Linked DNA regions of Lonchura striata. The protein of the gene in region 2 interacts with the protein of the main gene of each other region in a biochemical or structural test. Links are inferred from orthologs where the notes say so. Each region holds a gene or a part of one and is shown on either strand. Other genes may lie near its edges.

Region 1 (7,394 bases), on a different chromosome or scaffold from region 2:
AGGATGGTGTTCATTAGTCTCTCCAGCATAAACCACCAAAGAGATCAACATATACAATGCAAATATTCTGCAACTTCTTTTGGGATGAGGTATCTACTGTTTCGCTTTATGTCTGTTTTCTACAGCATCAACACAAATGTTTTATAGAAGGAGGTCTTCAATCCATGTAACATAAATTGCAGAATTAAATATCAGACTTTTTTGTCAATATTTTACAATTACTTTTAAGATGACAGTACTAATAGCAAAGCTGCAAATTCTCAATCTAATGTGGAGATTTCAAAGCATTCCCTATGTTTTTTTTTTATCTCCCTGAACAGATTAGGATTTTGTGAAAGGTTTTCAACTGGTCAAAAAGCAGAAACAAAACTTCCTGAGAAAACAACCACCTGATAATTTATTGTTTTGAGAATGTAAAACTATTTTGACCCTCACTTCCAAAATAAGTTATTTTTAAAAGAGTTGTTCCAATATAGAACTACCCCTAATGAAATTATTGTTAATAGTAATGCTTGGTATACACTCCAAGGACTGTGGACTTCAGAGAAAGATGAATTTGAGTCAGCTTCTTCCTCACTCTGCAAACTTGTACAGGTAAGAGGCATTCAACAATGAAATATTATGGTAAAATACAGTAACTGTAACTACCTAGAGGACAAGTGGAATTAGAACAGATGCTGGACCAACTAAACCGAACAAAAAGCAGTTATGCAGTTATACACACAAGTGCACAAACTATTTGTAACATGTCTGAAAGGGAAGGACCTTTGAAGTTCAATGTTCTGAAGTAAAAGGTGAGGAAAGGTATCTTTCTTTCTGAAAGCAGTACTGACACTGTATGAGTGTTCCTATGGTCCAGCAGCAGAAAGGAAACTCCATTTATCAGGAGATGCTGTCTAACTTCAAAGGGACACAGACAGACAAAATTTACACATCATTACTTCTTACAATTATATTAACATTGGTGCTTACCAGGAATACTCAAGATGTTACAGCACTCCAAAATGTGTATTTTTTTTTTAAGCTTCTTTCTTTTTTTTCAGCTTGTAACCTAAGTTACAAATGAAGCTGAAACAACTCTGTACCAACTCACCAGTATTACAGCACCTCTCCTGAGGTTCAATACCTTGTGTTCAGTTGTGTAACATTTGGATACTACAACGATAATCTGAAGCAACATCTAACACTATTATTAACATACCAACTTCCAATGCTTCACACTGAATCTTAGAATGAGCCACATCTAGCTTTACTTTCAGTTCCCAAACGGTGTTAACTAAATCTTTGTACTGCTGTTTTCCACCAAAGCAACCTTGGCAACTGAAATGGAAACCAGCCTTTAGAGCAGACACAGCCTCAGCACACAGTTGAAACGCTCTATCTTGATATTCCTGTTAGCCTCTATATCACATGTACATCAGCAAAGGTGGTTAAGCAGACTGACCAGACCTCATGTAATTAGACGACTCCTCTACTTTACATGATGACTTATTTCAATGTACACGGTAATCTTGTTACAGCAATCCTTACTACTTCCACATTCTTCTGGACAGATTTGGGGGATGAGAAAAAGCCACAACAAACATATAACAAGTTCATAAAAAAATAAGAGTAGAATAAAACAAAGGGATACTTTGTACAAACTACAAAGCTTAAAACAATCTGCAAAAGACAGAAAGAATCATCTGTTATACCTGCTACTAGAAGCCCCTAAAAGGTGCATTGCTGACATTAATTCTGATTTCCTTACAAATATGCACACCTTTACTTTGCTACATAGAATTGCAAACTTATTCACACACAGCTACTGAAACAGAATTTACTTTTGTGATAGCACTTTGGAGGTAGAGATACTACAACACGTGACTTGGAGCTAATCTATCACAAGCTTAATTTGGATTTATGGTTTCCTTTCAATTATTCTGTTCGGAAGCTTAACCCGGCCGTTTCACGCACACACACACAAAAAAAAAAAAAAAAAAAAAAAAAAAAAAAAAAAAAAAAAAAAAAAAAAAGCAGGAATTTGTGGTCAGCATTTTTTATTATAAAACAGCTCTGTAGCTCGGTTAAGACACACCTCTGTATCTGTGAATGCTTTAAAAGCTGGCACACCCCAGAGCACATGTGTGCAAGCAGATACTGCCCAACATTTTGAGGCAGAGCCAGAATACCGTGATCACTTTTCTCCATGAAAGCCTGTTTCATTTTGGTTACTTTACAACCAAGGGCTCTAAAACGCAAAAAACGGTTTCTCGCCAGTTTTTGGGACTCAATATCGTAACTTCCTATTCCCTAACAGTTTAATCACCCTAGGAAAGACTGGCCAACAACACGAAGGTGTCGAACTCAGGAGGAAGCCCGAGACGCCCCAGGCAGAGCCCCTGCGGCCCGAGGGAGGGAGGGGGCACGGGGCTCACCCCCGGCCAGGACCCAAGCCCGGCGCCACAGCATGCAGGCACCCCGGGCCCCAGCGGGGCGGCCGCAGCGAGGTCGCAGGCTCCCGAAGCAAAAGGAGACGGAAAGCGGGCACCCCTCCTCCTCCCCCACACGAGGCCACACGGAGAGCCGGGAGTCGCCGCTGTCGGCCCTAACTCCCCCCAATTTTCCAGCTCCCACCGACCTGGAGACGGCCATGGCCGCCTGGAGCCGGGCCGGGCTGACGGCGGGCGGCGGGACGGGGGGGCCGGGGCACTGCCCGGGCCGAGGGCGCTGGGCCTCGCTCGGGCCTGGGGCGCCGCACCCGGCCTCGGCCCCGCCGGCGATCCGCGGGCAGCGGCTGAGCGCGGCAGAGCCCGGCGGCGGTCGGAGTGTCGCTCCCCCGGGCGGGGCGGCGGCGGCGTGGGCAAGAGCGGCGAAAGACCCTCGGAGCGCGGGTTAAAGCCTCGATTCCCCCATCACCGGGGCGAAGCCCAATGCCTGGTTTTATATGAGCAGCCATCTTGTATTTATTCCCTTCCTCCATGAGAGCCGCTTCCTGATTGGCAAGAGCGTCCAGCCGCAGCCAATGGCGGGAGCGCTTCTAAGAGCAAGGAGGGCGGGAGCGCGCAGCGCCCGCACTGAGCAGGATCGGCCATGGAGCCCGCCGGGCCGGCTTGTGGTGGGGGGGCGGGGGTGCCGGCCTCTGCCGGGGCGTTCCACCTGCACGGCGATGGTGGGGGGGAAGAACACAAAAGACAGAGTTCCAGTCCCGAACCCTGAGAGGAGAAAAGGACACGAGAACGCGGAGTAAACGCTTTTCCTTCCATGTCTACTGGGTGGTAACCCTTCTGCCTCGCCAACACGGCGGGACAGGGCGGTCGGTAGTCGCTGAACCAACGCCGCACCCCGCTCTTGCCGAGGTCCGCTGTCCATCGGCCATGCCCGGTGCTGCGGCGCGAAGTCTCTGCCGGTGGGACTACAACTCCCGGCATGCCTCGCGCTTGGCCGGGCTCGGCCGCGGGCCCCGCCGTCCTTGCGGGCGGGCGCCGCTCCGGAGCCCCGCAGTGAGGGGCGGCTGTCACACAGCGGGCTGGCACTGCAGAGGGCTTGTGGCACACGAGCGTGGGAACACCCAAGGGTTTGTAAGCGTCGCCAGCCACGCCGGGCAGCGACGGGGCGGCTGGTCCGGCCCGGTCACGGCTTCTCTGTGAGGGGCCACGTTGTTTCCCGCTCTGAGCCGTCGCTCCGGCTGGGGCAGCGGCCCGTCCTCCCGGCCCGGCGATGCTGAAAGAGCCCTGGAACCCATCCCGGCAGTGCCCCTTGTCGCGGGCAGGCACACCAGGCTCCCAAGTGCTCGCTATCAGCTTCCATCAGATCCAGATTAAGAAATTAGCCTTCGACTAATCATTTAAATTAATGGTCCCAGACTGGTACATAAAGTTAGCTGACGTAGGTAACCTTTCATGTGATAAGTTGGAAACAAAATAATGGATTTTTTTTTTCCTGTGATGGCATAGACTTGGATAAACATAAATTTGCATAGTGCTGTATGATAAAGTTTTCCTCTGAAGCCCATTGTGGTGTGAGTGCTTCACACCCAACCCTTCTAAAGGGATTTCTGCTCGCCCCAGCCTTTCTGGTTGGTCTCCCTCTCCTCGGAGAGTTAACTCTTCATGTATGGCTCACTCATTCTGTCTGCACGAGCACATATTCTAAACAAACATCCTAATGCTCTCTGCATTATCACTGGCTTTTGACAGTTCTCTGAAGACACTGGGATAATGCTTCAATCTATCCTTACCCATGCAGGTCCAGCCTATACTTCAGCCTTTCCTAAACTATGCCAGGCATGCTGCTTTCCTGCCTGTCCCTCCTGTCCTTTGGTGGGAGCACTGTGGCAACTGAAAACTGGCATTGGAGTGGCCCCAAACAGTGGCAGTGAGAGTCAGCCTGAGGCCTCTGAGCACGGAGTGTGGCCAGAGCAAACTACAGACCTGTTTTTCAGTGGTGGACGTGGGTTTTGTCACAGTGACAACAGTTCAATGACCCAGATAATGCCTTTTGCCTGTCATGGCTCTGATGCAGTAGCTACCTTTAAACAGCTCAGTATACCTTCTGTAGTTGAATACACACAAAAAGTGCAGTGGGTATAGCTGGAGGACAAGAGCCACTCACCAGAGTACTCCAAAGACTCCCCACACCTTCCTTTCTGCCATCCCATATCCTCGTGTTGCAGGTGCACTTGCCTGGGTCCCTGCCCGTGATCCCAGGCACATGCCTGCTCCTGTCCTGTGTGTGTCCATGTTTGATTTAGACAAGTATGGGGAGGGAAGCAGGGAATTGGGGTAGGGAGCAGCAAGCAACAGACTGAGGGCAGAGATATTTTCCTTGTATGTTTGATGCTGTTGACATGGATGCATAGCAAACATCCCTGATAGTATTTCCGTGTTTGTTTAGCCAGGAATCAACAGCCATCCTGTCCTGCTGTGGACGTTATTGAAATGATCCTCAGGTGGTATTTCCAATTCTAACATCCTATTTCCTCTTACATTCCTTAAAAACAATTTTAATAGCAGTCAAGGCAGAGGACACATCAAATATGCAATAAAATGTTTTGAACAGCTCCTACCTGATAAAAATAAATGCAGGGAAAATATTGGTAGTGGGTCGTATGCACTGAGTACTTGCTGAAATTATGTTAAACTGCACTTCCAGCAAAACAATCTGCAAAAGACAGAAAGAATGATCTGTTATAGCAGGCATTCTGGACTCAAACACAATTCATTCAAGTATCACACCATATATATTTGTATTTTGATGTGATATTTATATAAAGCACATCATTATTTAACTATTCACTTGTATCTTCTGCTCAATTATTTCCCTACACTCTATGAAAACTAATTCTTCTTTGTCCATGCATCTGTTCAGCACCTCTATAAGTCACACCAATTTTGTTTGCATTTTTTGGACCTATTTTTCAAGGAGTACCTATACATTTCCTTCCTTCTTCTTCTGTTAAAAGAATCCCCCCCTGAAAATCTGTTGTGTGCCAGTATACTCTCTCCAACCTGCTCCTAAATTAAATAAAACTCAGTAATTACACTCCTTTGGTATGTTTTAATGAGTACTTTCTGCATCCATCTCAACTGGTTTTATTTTGCTTTCTCCCTCCTGCCAGCTGTGTTCACTTGTGAGCTCCTTGCTCAGGCTGCAGATGCACAGTGACAGCAGCTCGGGTCTGTGCCCTGTTGGCTGCCAGAGCCCAGGCAGAAAGAGGTGCAGCCTCCAAGTGCTCCAGCTGTGCAAATAGCAGATGACTGAGACACCGTTTTTCAGTGGAATCCCTCCTGATTAGACCTGACATAACATAATCTTTTACATGTTCTAGACTCTTAGAGGACTAACTTCCAGTTAGTTTTGTTTGTGTCCTGAAGATTTGAAGATTTGTACTGCTCAGGATTACATCAGCCTCTCTGTAGTGGTAGGTATAACATTTGCTGCCTTCTAGTCTAATAAAAAAAGACTATTTTCATAATAGCTTACATGTATTTTAGTGTCTATGTTATTTGATTTCCAAATTCCCTTGGAAAACTTGTCTGAAGACAAGTTAGTCTTAGAAGCTTGCCCCTTCTTAGCAGTTTGCTTAGACAGCTTCTCTGCCGGTGTCTTAATCTCTATTATTATTTTGATAATCTGTGCAAAAAAAATCTGGGAGATACATTTATACAGTATGAACTTATGCAGGAAAATGGTTCAGGTTCTTTATAACATGTATTTCTTAAGAATGCTATCTGTTCTGAGGTCTGCAAACTAGATATCTTGTAGACTATTTCCAACATTTAAACTTTAAAATTCTTATTTGTTTTTATACATTTATCTACTTCTTCTTCAAGTATTATTTAATCTTCCTTGTTTTTATTTGACATTTTATCTCTGTAGGTTAGGCCCCTCTTTAGTAGTGTTGTCAAAATCAGAGTTCTTATTGCTGAAAATTGTTTTAGTTGAGTATTCTCTTGTTTCTAACTAATAGTGTCTCTTGCTATTCTGTTTGATTTTTATTTAAAGGTGTATTTATTTTTCACTAGTTTCCATGCCAACTCATGGCTTTTAATTGTCTTATTTTTACTCCAATGAAGTTTTTTAGTAGCTGCATAACGTTATGAAAGCCTCTTAATAAAAAGTCAACTTGTTCATGGCCTTCCTTTTAAGTTCTTCACAATAAGTGCTGGAGGCTGGATGCTGACTGATAGCTCTAGTAGTTTAAAAACACCTCAGATACCAAGGAAGTGCTGGATTCTGAGAGACAAATCAGGGCAAAGCATTGCCACCCACAACATGCAGCAGCAACATTTCTGAAAAATGTTTGATGGGCTTCAATTTCTCAACATCAAACAGGATTGCAATAACCACTAGGTAGGGAAAATCACCAGCATCTAAAAGATTCCCAATGTCACCAGAGCTGTGTAATTATCTCATTAGATTTCATTACCTCTGATCATATTTAATATTGTCAATTTGTGACAATTTTCTGAATGAGAGGCTCGTGATATGACAAAGAGAGATGGAAAACTTGTGTTTCTCTTCTTGTAATTTTCTAATCTCAGGGATTTTATCTCATGAGATGGCACAGACTTGTTCAGAAGTGTTGCTTCTTGCCTATTTCCATTTTAAACAGATATTCTGTATAAGTGATCAGCCTTGATGTATAAGGTTGTACAACCACCTTGTTTTTGGTAGCCATGGACTTTAATTTCTTCAGCATATATTTCCATTATCATGAATTTCCCATTTTTTAACTCAGCTCTGTTTGCCACCCCATCTTATGAAGCCATAAATAACTCATATCCTTTGAAAACCTTTTATGTACAAACCCTGTAAATTTCTTAGTTTTGTCTAGCAGTTATCCATGCTATCCTAAGTTCAATAAATATTTTACAGTTTGGGTAGTTTATTGTTACTGTGGCATTTTTAGG
Region 2 (7,851 bases):
TTTAATCTGGCTTCAATAATTTTAGTAAGTGTAAGGCAGTCTCCATGGAAACCAGTGCATCCAATGACAGTTCGTTCTGTTCTGAAAAACGTAAAATTTTGTTGCAATATTAGGCTTAGCATGAACTACAGCAATTTCTGATACAGCAGCTTATTATGAAAACACCAAATGTATTTTCAGTTTTTCTAGTGCTGTCAAAAACAGTTGTCTAAAATGTAGTAACAGATCTGTGGTGTATAAAAGGCACCTGCAACCTACATCTTGAAGAGGACTCAATAAATGCAGGACCACGCAGATGTCTTTCTTCAACTACTTCCTTCTTCAGCTCTCAGCAGGACTGACAAAAAGAAATTCTTCATTTCTTTATGCACTCCTGACTCCAGCTGTAGCAATTCAGTCTTACTAGAAGATCTGTTATACACTGGGGAGCCACAGATCCTATCACTCAGTCCAATTTTTACTCCATCAGACCAGAGGGCTGCATTAAGCTTGTACAATGGTTGCATGACATTTATGGTTTTGGTGGCTTCTCACAGCACAAACAGAAGTTACCTGGCTGCAGATGCACTACAGAAGCTTAGCTCTCTGCTCAGTTTTGAAATGTTTTATGAACACTAACCATGGGAACACACACTTGAAATTTTAATTGTAGGAAACAGAAAAGAGTCTAGAAATATTAATACACAGTGACCTACCCAAAGCAGTCATTCAGAAAATATCTTAAAACAAAATCTTCTCTCAGCCTGTCACTAGAATTACATAAAGCCATTGTGAGCAATATGTATACTGTACCAGACTAATCTCCATCTGGACAGTATCAGAGAATCAAATATGTAGTAATAACAAGTTAGCCAGGAGAAGCCAAGTTATTTTGACTTCATGTCATCAATCTAGAAAAATAAACAATAACCCACACAAAAAAAAAAAATATTTATGTAGTTGATGACAGCCTACAAGGCAAGCACCTGCTGCAGTAAAATGAACATAAATAACGTGTAGCTGTAAACCAAGAAGATGCTACCCAGGTGAGTCAAACTAAGCATAAAATGAGACTAGAAAGTTCAATTCTGGAACTACTAATAGGTTTACCTCCCCTAAAACAAACACCTCTCTAAGTGCCAGGTAGAGAGATACAGTACAACTGGCAGCAGTGGGCACACTTACATACCACCACCAGATCTCCTGATGAAGTAGAATGAGTTACCATATAATTAAGTTTTGCTATAGTTAAGTTAGGAATTCTTCTGATTATCCAGCCAAAAAACTCCATGTTTAAGTTTGTTTCATGCGAAAAATGTTCTGTTCTCACTTAGCTTCAAAAGCATGAAACAAGAAATCTGGCTATATTTACAACATCACATCACATCTTGCATTACAGCAAAGGTCACCACAACTCCAAAATCTACGGTGTTACTGTGCTTTTTCTTCTAAGAATTCTGCTTAAAGCAAGAGGCAGATGATATGGTCAGCAAAACAAAAGATTTTTCGTCTTTTTCAATCCTTGCAGATCTGGACTTACAGCTTGTAGCATTTTGGGCTGTCCCGGGAGTGAATTGAATAGCCTTCACTCAGACGCGTGTCAGAGGCAACGATACAAAAGTCTTCTCCAGCAATCGCCAGCACAGTCCTTAAAAAAAGAGTACGGGTAAATCATGGCCTTCAGCACAAGCATCTTCTCAAGTAACACAGAAACAAGCTAGATAGTAATTCTACACCCAGACTCATGTTCTGTCAAGTATCTTATTCTCCTTGCTATGTTTCCCACTATGCACATCCCTACTCAAGCCAAAAAGAAGAAGACACTAGACAGACTGAAGAAAATATATACATGTGGCCCTCTACTCTGATTTAAATTGTAAGGCAACTTGGTAAAACAGAGACTCTACACCAGGCAAGAACCAGACCAAATGGATGAGGTATTTTATATGCCTGATAAAACAAACAAAAATCCTTCTAAAACAAGCAAAGTACTGAGCAACTGTATCACTACACTTAAATAAACGTCACTTTTAAAATCTGGTGTTATTACTTGCCAACAACCAGTACTGTGATCACCACAGGTGTACTACCATTAAGTAACAAATTACTTAATTTAAAAAGCAGTAGTCATTATAAGAAAAAAAGCTTACCTGGCCAGATCATGCCACCAACTCAGGTGTGTTAAAACAGTGTTAAAACATCACTTGCCTTTAACAGTTTACAGCAACGTAGCATTCAACCCAGTAACACGTTTACCAGCAGCATGGTAAAAAGCAAAGGCCATAAACTAAAACACAAGAAATTCCACCTCAACATCAGAAAGAACTTCTTAACGTTGAGGGTGGCAGACCATTGGAATAGGCTGCCCAGGGAAGTCGTGCAGTCTCCCTCTCTGAAGACATTCAAAACCCACCCGGACACGTTCTGGTGTCACCTGCTCGAGGTGACCCTGCCTTATCAGGGGAGTTGGACTGGATGATCTCCAGAGCACCCATCCAGCCCTAACAACTCTGTTACAGGATTCCGTAACAGGACCATTACCTGGCTTTCCTAAGCCACTATAAAGAAACAACCCTGCGGGGAACAAAAGATGCGTACTTTAAGACCAGTCGAAGTTTAGGGAGCCCGAGCGTTCCAAAAGCCACACGGACAGGCAAGAACACCCCGAAAGGCTGCAAGGCCTCAAGGCAAGCCCAAGCCTAGCTCCTCCTTGTGCTGCCGCCCTCTCCCTACGAGGAGGAGACCGTGGGGGGAGGTAAACCCGCACTGGGCACCGAGGAGAAGCGGGAGTAAGGCGAGGCAGCGCCAACCCGGCGCGGCTCTCCGCTGGGCCCATGCCCGGGAGCGTGCCCGTCCCGCCCGCCGCCTCCCGCGCCGCTCACCCTCCGTTGAAGGTGTACGGCGAGAAGCGGTGGTGCTGCACGGGCGCCTCCAGCCCGTAGCCCGCCTCGGGCCGGGAGAGCCCGCGTCCCGCGGTGGGCAGCATCGCGGCCGCCGATCGCTGCTGTCTCACGGCGAAATGGCGGCACCGGAGGCGGAAGCGGAGCCGCCCTGGGCGGGGCGCGCAGCGCCGCCTCCTCTCGGTGCTCTGCCGGCCGGAGGGCGGCGGCGCCGCTGCGGAGCGGAGCCCGGCCCGTGCCGCCTGCGGCGCGGTGTGTGCCTGGGCCGGCAGCGCTTGGACGAGAGCCGTGCCCGCTCCTGGAAACACGCAGGCTGGTCGGGAGCACCAGTCGTGATTGGGCGGGTGGGCAGCAGCGTGGCTCCTGTTCTGTAGGGAGAGCGCCTTTGGAACCACCGTGAAGAGAGTGGGAATCAGAATCATCAGATGGCTGGAGTTGGAAAGGACGTCAAAGATCATCTATCCTGTCATGGGCAGGGACACCTTTCACTAGACCAAGCCGCTCAAAGATCCATCCTGCTTGAACACTTCCAGGGATGGGGCACCCACAACTTTCCTGGGCAACCTATGCCAGTACTGCACCACCCTCACAGCAAAGAACTGCCTCCTAATATGTAATCTAAACTCTCTCTCTTTCAGTTTGAGGCCATTCCCCCCTGTCCTACATGCTCTTGTGAAAAGTTCCTCTCCACCTTTGTAGTAGGTCACCCTGAAGCCTTCTCTTACCCAGGCTGAATAATCAAAATTATCTCAGCCTTTCCCTGTGCTTCATCCCTCTAAGCATCTTGGTGGCCCTCCTCTTGACTTGCTCCAACAGGTCCAGGTCTTTCTTGAGCTGGACACAGGACTCTAGATGGGGTCTCACCAGGTCCTCGAGGTGGGCCATGGGTTGTGGTGCCAGGCACCATGGCGCAACTGGAAACAAGTGGGAAGGGCTGGGATAGAAGCTCGAAGAGGTACTAGGGGAGAAGGACAGGGCGGGGACAGTGAGATGCAGGGGACACATGGTGCTCCTGAGGAAAAGTGTGTTGCCCTGCTCAGGAAGCACAGCTGTGGTGGCTGCAGTCTCCATGGGCACTGTGCAGACACAGCAGCAAGACCCGCAGGTGGCTGCACAGCAGTGTGGAACTCTGTACAGCTCCAGTGTGAGGAACCATAGCTCCTGTGAGGGCCTGGTGCACTGCCAGGGACCCCCACAGATCCACAGAATTTGGAAGGGACCACAAGGGGTCATCTGGAGCAACCTTTTTTGCTCAAGCACCTGACATACGGTTGTGTCCAGATGGTTCTTGAACATCTCCAGTGAGGGAGATTCCACAACCTCTCAGGACAATCTGCTCCAGTGCTTGGTCACCTGCACAGTGAAGAAGTTCTTCTTCATATGCAGGTGGAACTTCCTGTGCATCGGTATCTGCCCATTGCCTCTCGTCCTATTGCTTGGCACCACCAAGATGGGCCCAGATGAATCCTCTTCACACCCACCCTTTAAATATTTATTCACATTTATGAGGTCCCCTCTCAGTCGTGTCTTCTCAAGGCTGAACAGGTCCAGGTTCCTCCGCCTTTCTTCATAAGTGGATGCTCCAATCCTTTATCATCTCCGTAGTCCTCTGCTGCATCTGCTCCAGGAGCTCCATGTCTCTCCTGCCCTGAGGAGCCCAGAACAGGACACAGCACTCCAGACGCAGCCTCTCCAGGGCTGAGTAGAGGGGCAGGATCGACCTGCTGGCAATGCTCTTCCTAATGCACCCCAGGACAGCACTGGCCTTCTTGGCCACACGGCACTGCTGGCTCGGGGACAGCCTGTTTGCACCAGGAGCCCCAGGCCCTTCCCCACAGAGCTGCTTCCCCGCCGGCTGGCCCAGCCTGTGCTGGCGCCCGTGGTTACGCCTCTCCAGGTGCCTCTCCTGCCCTCGCCCTCGATAATTTCCGACGGTTCCTCCCTGCGAAGTCTTGTCCCGCCGGCGGCGGGAAGTGACGCGCCGGGCGCGCCGGTGGAGCGGGAGCGGGGGCGGGGCGCGGCCGGGCGCTGAGCGCGGCGGGAGCGGAGCGAGCCGCAGGTACCGAGTGCCCGCCCGGTACCGAGTGCCCGCCGCTCGCCCCTGCCCGCGGCCGGGCTGGTGGGGCGCGATGGTGTGGGGCAGGCCGGGCCTGGAGGGCGGGGACGATGCGCGGGCCGGGCTCGCTCCGCACCTCCGGGGCGGCCTGAGCCGCGGCCGGGGGAAGCGGAGGGGCTCCCGCGGCGCGGAGGCGGCGGCCGCCTTTCTCTCCCCGGCGCGGCTCGGGAGCGGGAGGCGGCCGAGGCGCCGGCCGCGGGATGGGCGCGGGCAGCGGCGGGGCCGGGGCCGGGGCCGGGTCGGGTGGGGAGCGAGGAGGGCTGGGGCGCGGGCAGGCTGTGGCCGCACGCCGAGCGCTGCTGCGTGGCTGGTGGCGAGCCCGAAAGGGCCCCCGGGGGTGGGTCGGGGCCTCCTCCGGGCTGTCTGCGGCTTCTGGACTCTGTTCCCTCGACCGAAACGTCGCCCGACGTTTGTAGTGGAGATCCGAGCAAGCCGCCTTTAGTGGGTAGAGGAGGGACTTCTGCGTAGACCGTGCCCTGGGTGCAGGTTTTTGTATGCCTGGTATCCAGCCTTTTTACTAAATAGCTGGGCTGTCGAGGAGTTGAGTTTGTTTCTTCCAGGATAATATTTAGGCCTCTAATGTTCCCACGTTGTAAAACCTGGGTGGTCTTCTTGATACCTTTGGTGATATCTTAAGGTCATGGGTGGAAAAAAGCAGACCTTTCTAGCTGCAGTGTAAATATTAATGTAGTTCTGAGTTCTCATATCTTAAAAAAAAGAGAGGCTGCATAGGCTGTCTTTGCATTTTGAGGTGGCCTACGTCTGGCCTGATGTATTTGATGACCTTGAGTATCTCTTAGCAATAGTTAAAAAACTTAAAAATTAATGGGATAATATTTTATATAATTGGTATAATAAAATTTAAATCATCCACTTCTGTTTATTTCCATAACAGAGCAACAGAAGTGTAGTTAGAAATGAAAGAAAACCATTGTATGTCTCACTTGCGTACTTGAAATTTGTTTTCACATATTTCTTTTTTCCTCACAAAATGTATGTCATTACAGTTTGAAATCTGTCAGTGCTTTGTTTTATGGAATTGGATGGAAGAGGTTTTCCTAGCTGTGATTTGAGCTGTGATGCTCTTCTCATAGAAGAAAAAAAGTCATTTTTGAAAGCACAAGCCTTAAAATAGCCAGGAAGAGACTACAAGCAATGTCAATTAGTAGCCAAGGGAATTAAATTCTAAAAAAATCAGTGCTTTTGCAGCTGAAGCGAAGCTTGGAGTAGAATGAGCATCAACAGCTTGAGCTGTTAGTGCAGGAAGGTTTGGTTAGATAGAGGCCTGCTCGTGTGAGTCAAGTGACCTGCCAGGGACTTCAGCAGAATCATACTGCAAAGTTTCTATGGAGTGTGCCTGAAAAAGGTTATTTTTATGGATTGTGCATGTGTGTGTGCGTGCGCGTGAATGTTCTTATATGTATTTGTACGTGGGTGTCTCTTATCTGAGTCAGCAGCTGATAGATTTGCTTTTGGGTTTGTGTTTAGATATTATTCTCAAGATATTACTTTTTTTTTCCAGGCTCAGGACAGTGTTGTAGATCCATATTTCTCTGAAGCTGATGTTTTCCTAATACTTTCAGCTTGGCTTTAAAAGCTACTTCGCTGGAATGTTTTAAACGGTTAAAAAACCTCTAGGATTTGAATTTTATTTAAATTAATTGAAGGAAATACTTCTGGCCTCACCAAAGAAATAACTGGAATCATGGATCAGAACAACAGTTTGCCACCCTACGCTCAAGGCTTAGCCTCCCCTCAGGTAAAAACGAATTATTTAAAATGTAACTGTGATCTGAATTTCCTTTATGAAAGTGCTTTCTCTTTCTTATATCTACCTTCACAATTTTTTTTTTGTTAACAGATCTGAAAAATTCTACTAGGTATCGAATAATACTAGTATAAAGCAGAATTTTGAAACCATTGATGTCTATATTCAGAAGTATAAGAAACACATGGTTTTTTATACACTGACTGTAAGAATATATGTGGGATTTCTTAATGGGGTTCCTCTTAAGTGGAAACATGACTGACAAGTTGGAAAGATTTAATTTAATTTAGGTGGTTGCTGCTTAAACTATGTACATAATGGATTATTGCTGGGCTATGAGTGCAGTGGGTACAGTGAGCACAGTTGGTGTTCAGGCAGTTTCAAGTTAAATTGTGGGTCAAAGTTGAGACACACTTGCAAGGTAGTGTGAGAAGCACATCATGTTCCCTAGATTCCTTTGGGTAGTACTTTATTCTGTAGAACAGCTGCATTTCTGAGGATTTTCTAATTTTAATGATTTACTACTATATGCTTCAGGTTTGATATGAGCAACTTGGCTAACATAGATTTATTTTTGACTCCTCCTGAAAACTTTGTCTCTTAAAAACAAAATGGAGTAATGGATCTGTGGCTTTTGTGTCTTGTTTTCTTCTGCAGGGTGCAATGACTCCAGGAATTCCAATTTTCAGCCCGATGATGCCATATGGCACAGGACTGACACCGCAGCCTGTCCAGAGCACCAACAGTCTGTCCATATTGGAGGAACAGCAGCGGCAGCAGCAGCAGCAGCAAGCAGCACAGCAATCCACGTCACAGCAAGCGACACAGGGAACATCTGGTCAAACCCCCCAGCTCTTCCATTCACAGACTCTTACCACAGCCCCTTTACCAGGAACCACACCTCTGTACTCCTCTCCAATGACTCCAATGACTCCCATAACTCCTGCAACACCAGCATCAGAGAGCTCTGGCATAGTGCCACAACTACAGTGAGTGCCCCATGTGTTAGTGCATCATGTCTTCTCTCAGACAGGCTTTTAAAGACTTAGGACCAAAGTCACATCGGGAATTAGGTACTGCATTTTGGT

Evidence for each region. The genes of interacting proteins can lie anywhere in the genome.
Region 1: the proteins of TBP (region 2) and BTAF1 form a complex in vitro, tested with the Homo sapiens proteins (2 studies listed by BioGRID). The link is inferred for Lonchura striata from reciprocal best matches to the Homo sapiens genes TBP and BTAF1.

What each region holds. Positions count from the first base shown.
Region 1 is NC_134609.1:17,469,733-17,477,126, forward strand, and holds the start of BTAF1 (TATA-binding protein-associated factor 172), read right to left. Parts: upstream 3,093-7,394; 5' UTR 2,635-3,092; coding exon 2,621-2,634; intron 1-2,620. UniProt on the Homo sapiens protein: Regulates transcription in association with TATA binding protein (TBP). Removes TBP from the TATA box in an ATP-dependent manner.
Region 2 is NC_134605.1:42,585,782-42,593,632, forward strand, and holds the start of TBP (TATA-box-binding protein), read left to right. Parts: upstream 1-4,842; 5' UTR 4,843-4,938; intron 4,939-6,517; 5' UTR 6,518-6,700; coding exon 6,701-6,754; intron 6,755-7,420; coding exon 7,421-7,752; intron 7,753-7,851. Other genes in the region: PSMB1 (proteasome subunit beta type-1), read right to left, coding at 1-81, 1,520-1,627, 2,862-2,965. UniProt on the Homo sapiens protein: The TFIID basal transcription factor complex plays a major role in the initiation of RNA polymerase II (Pol II)-dependent transcription.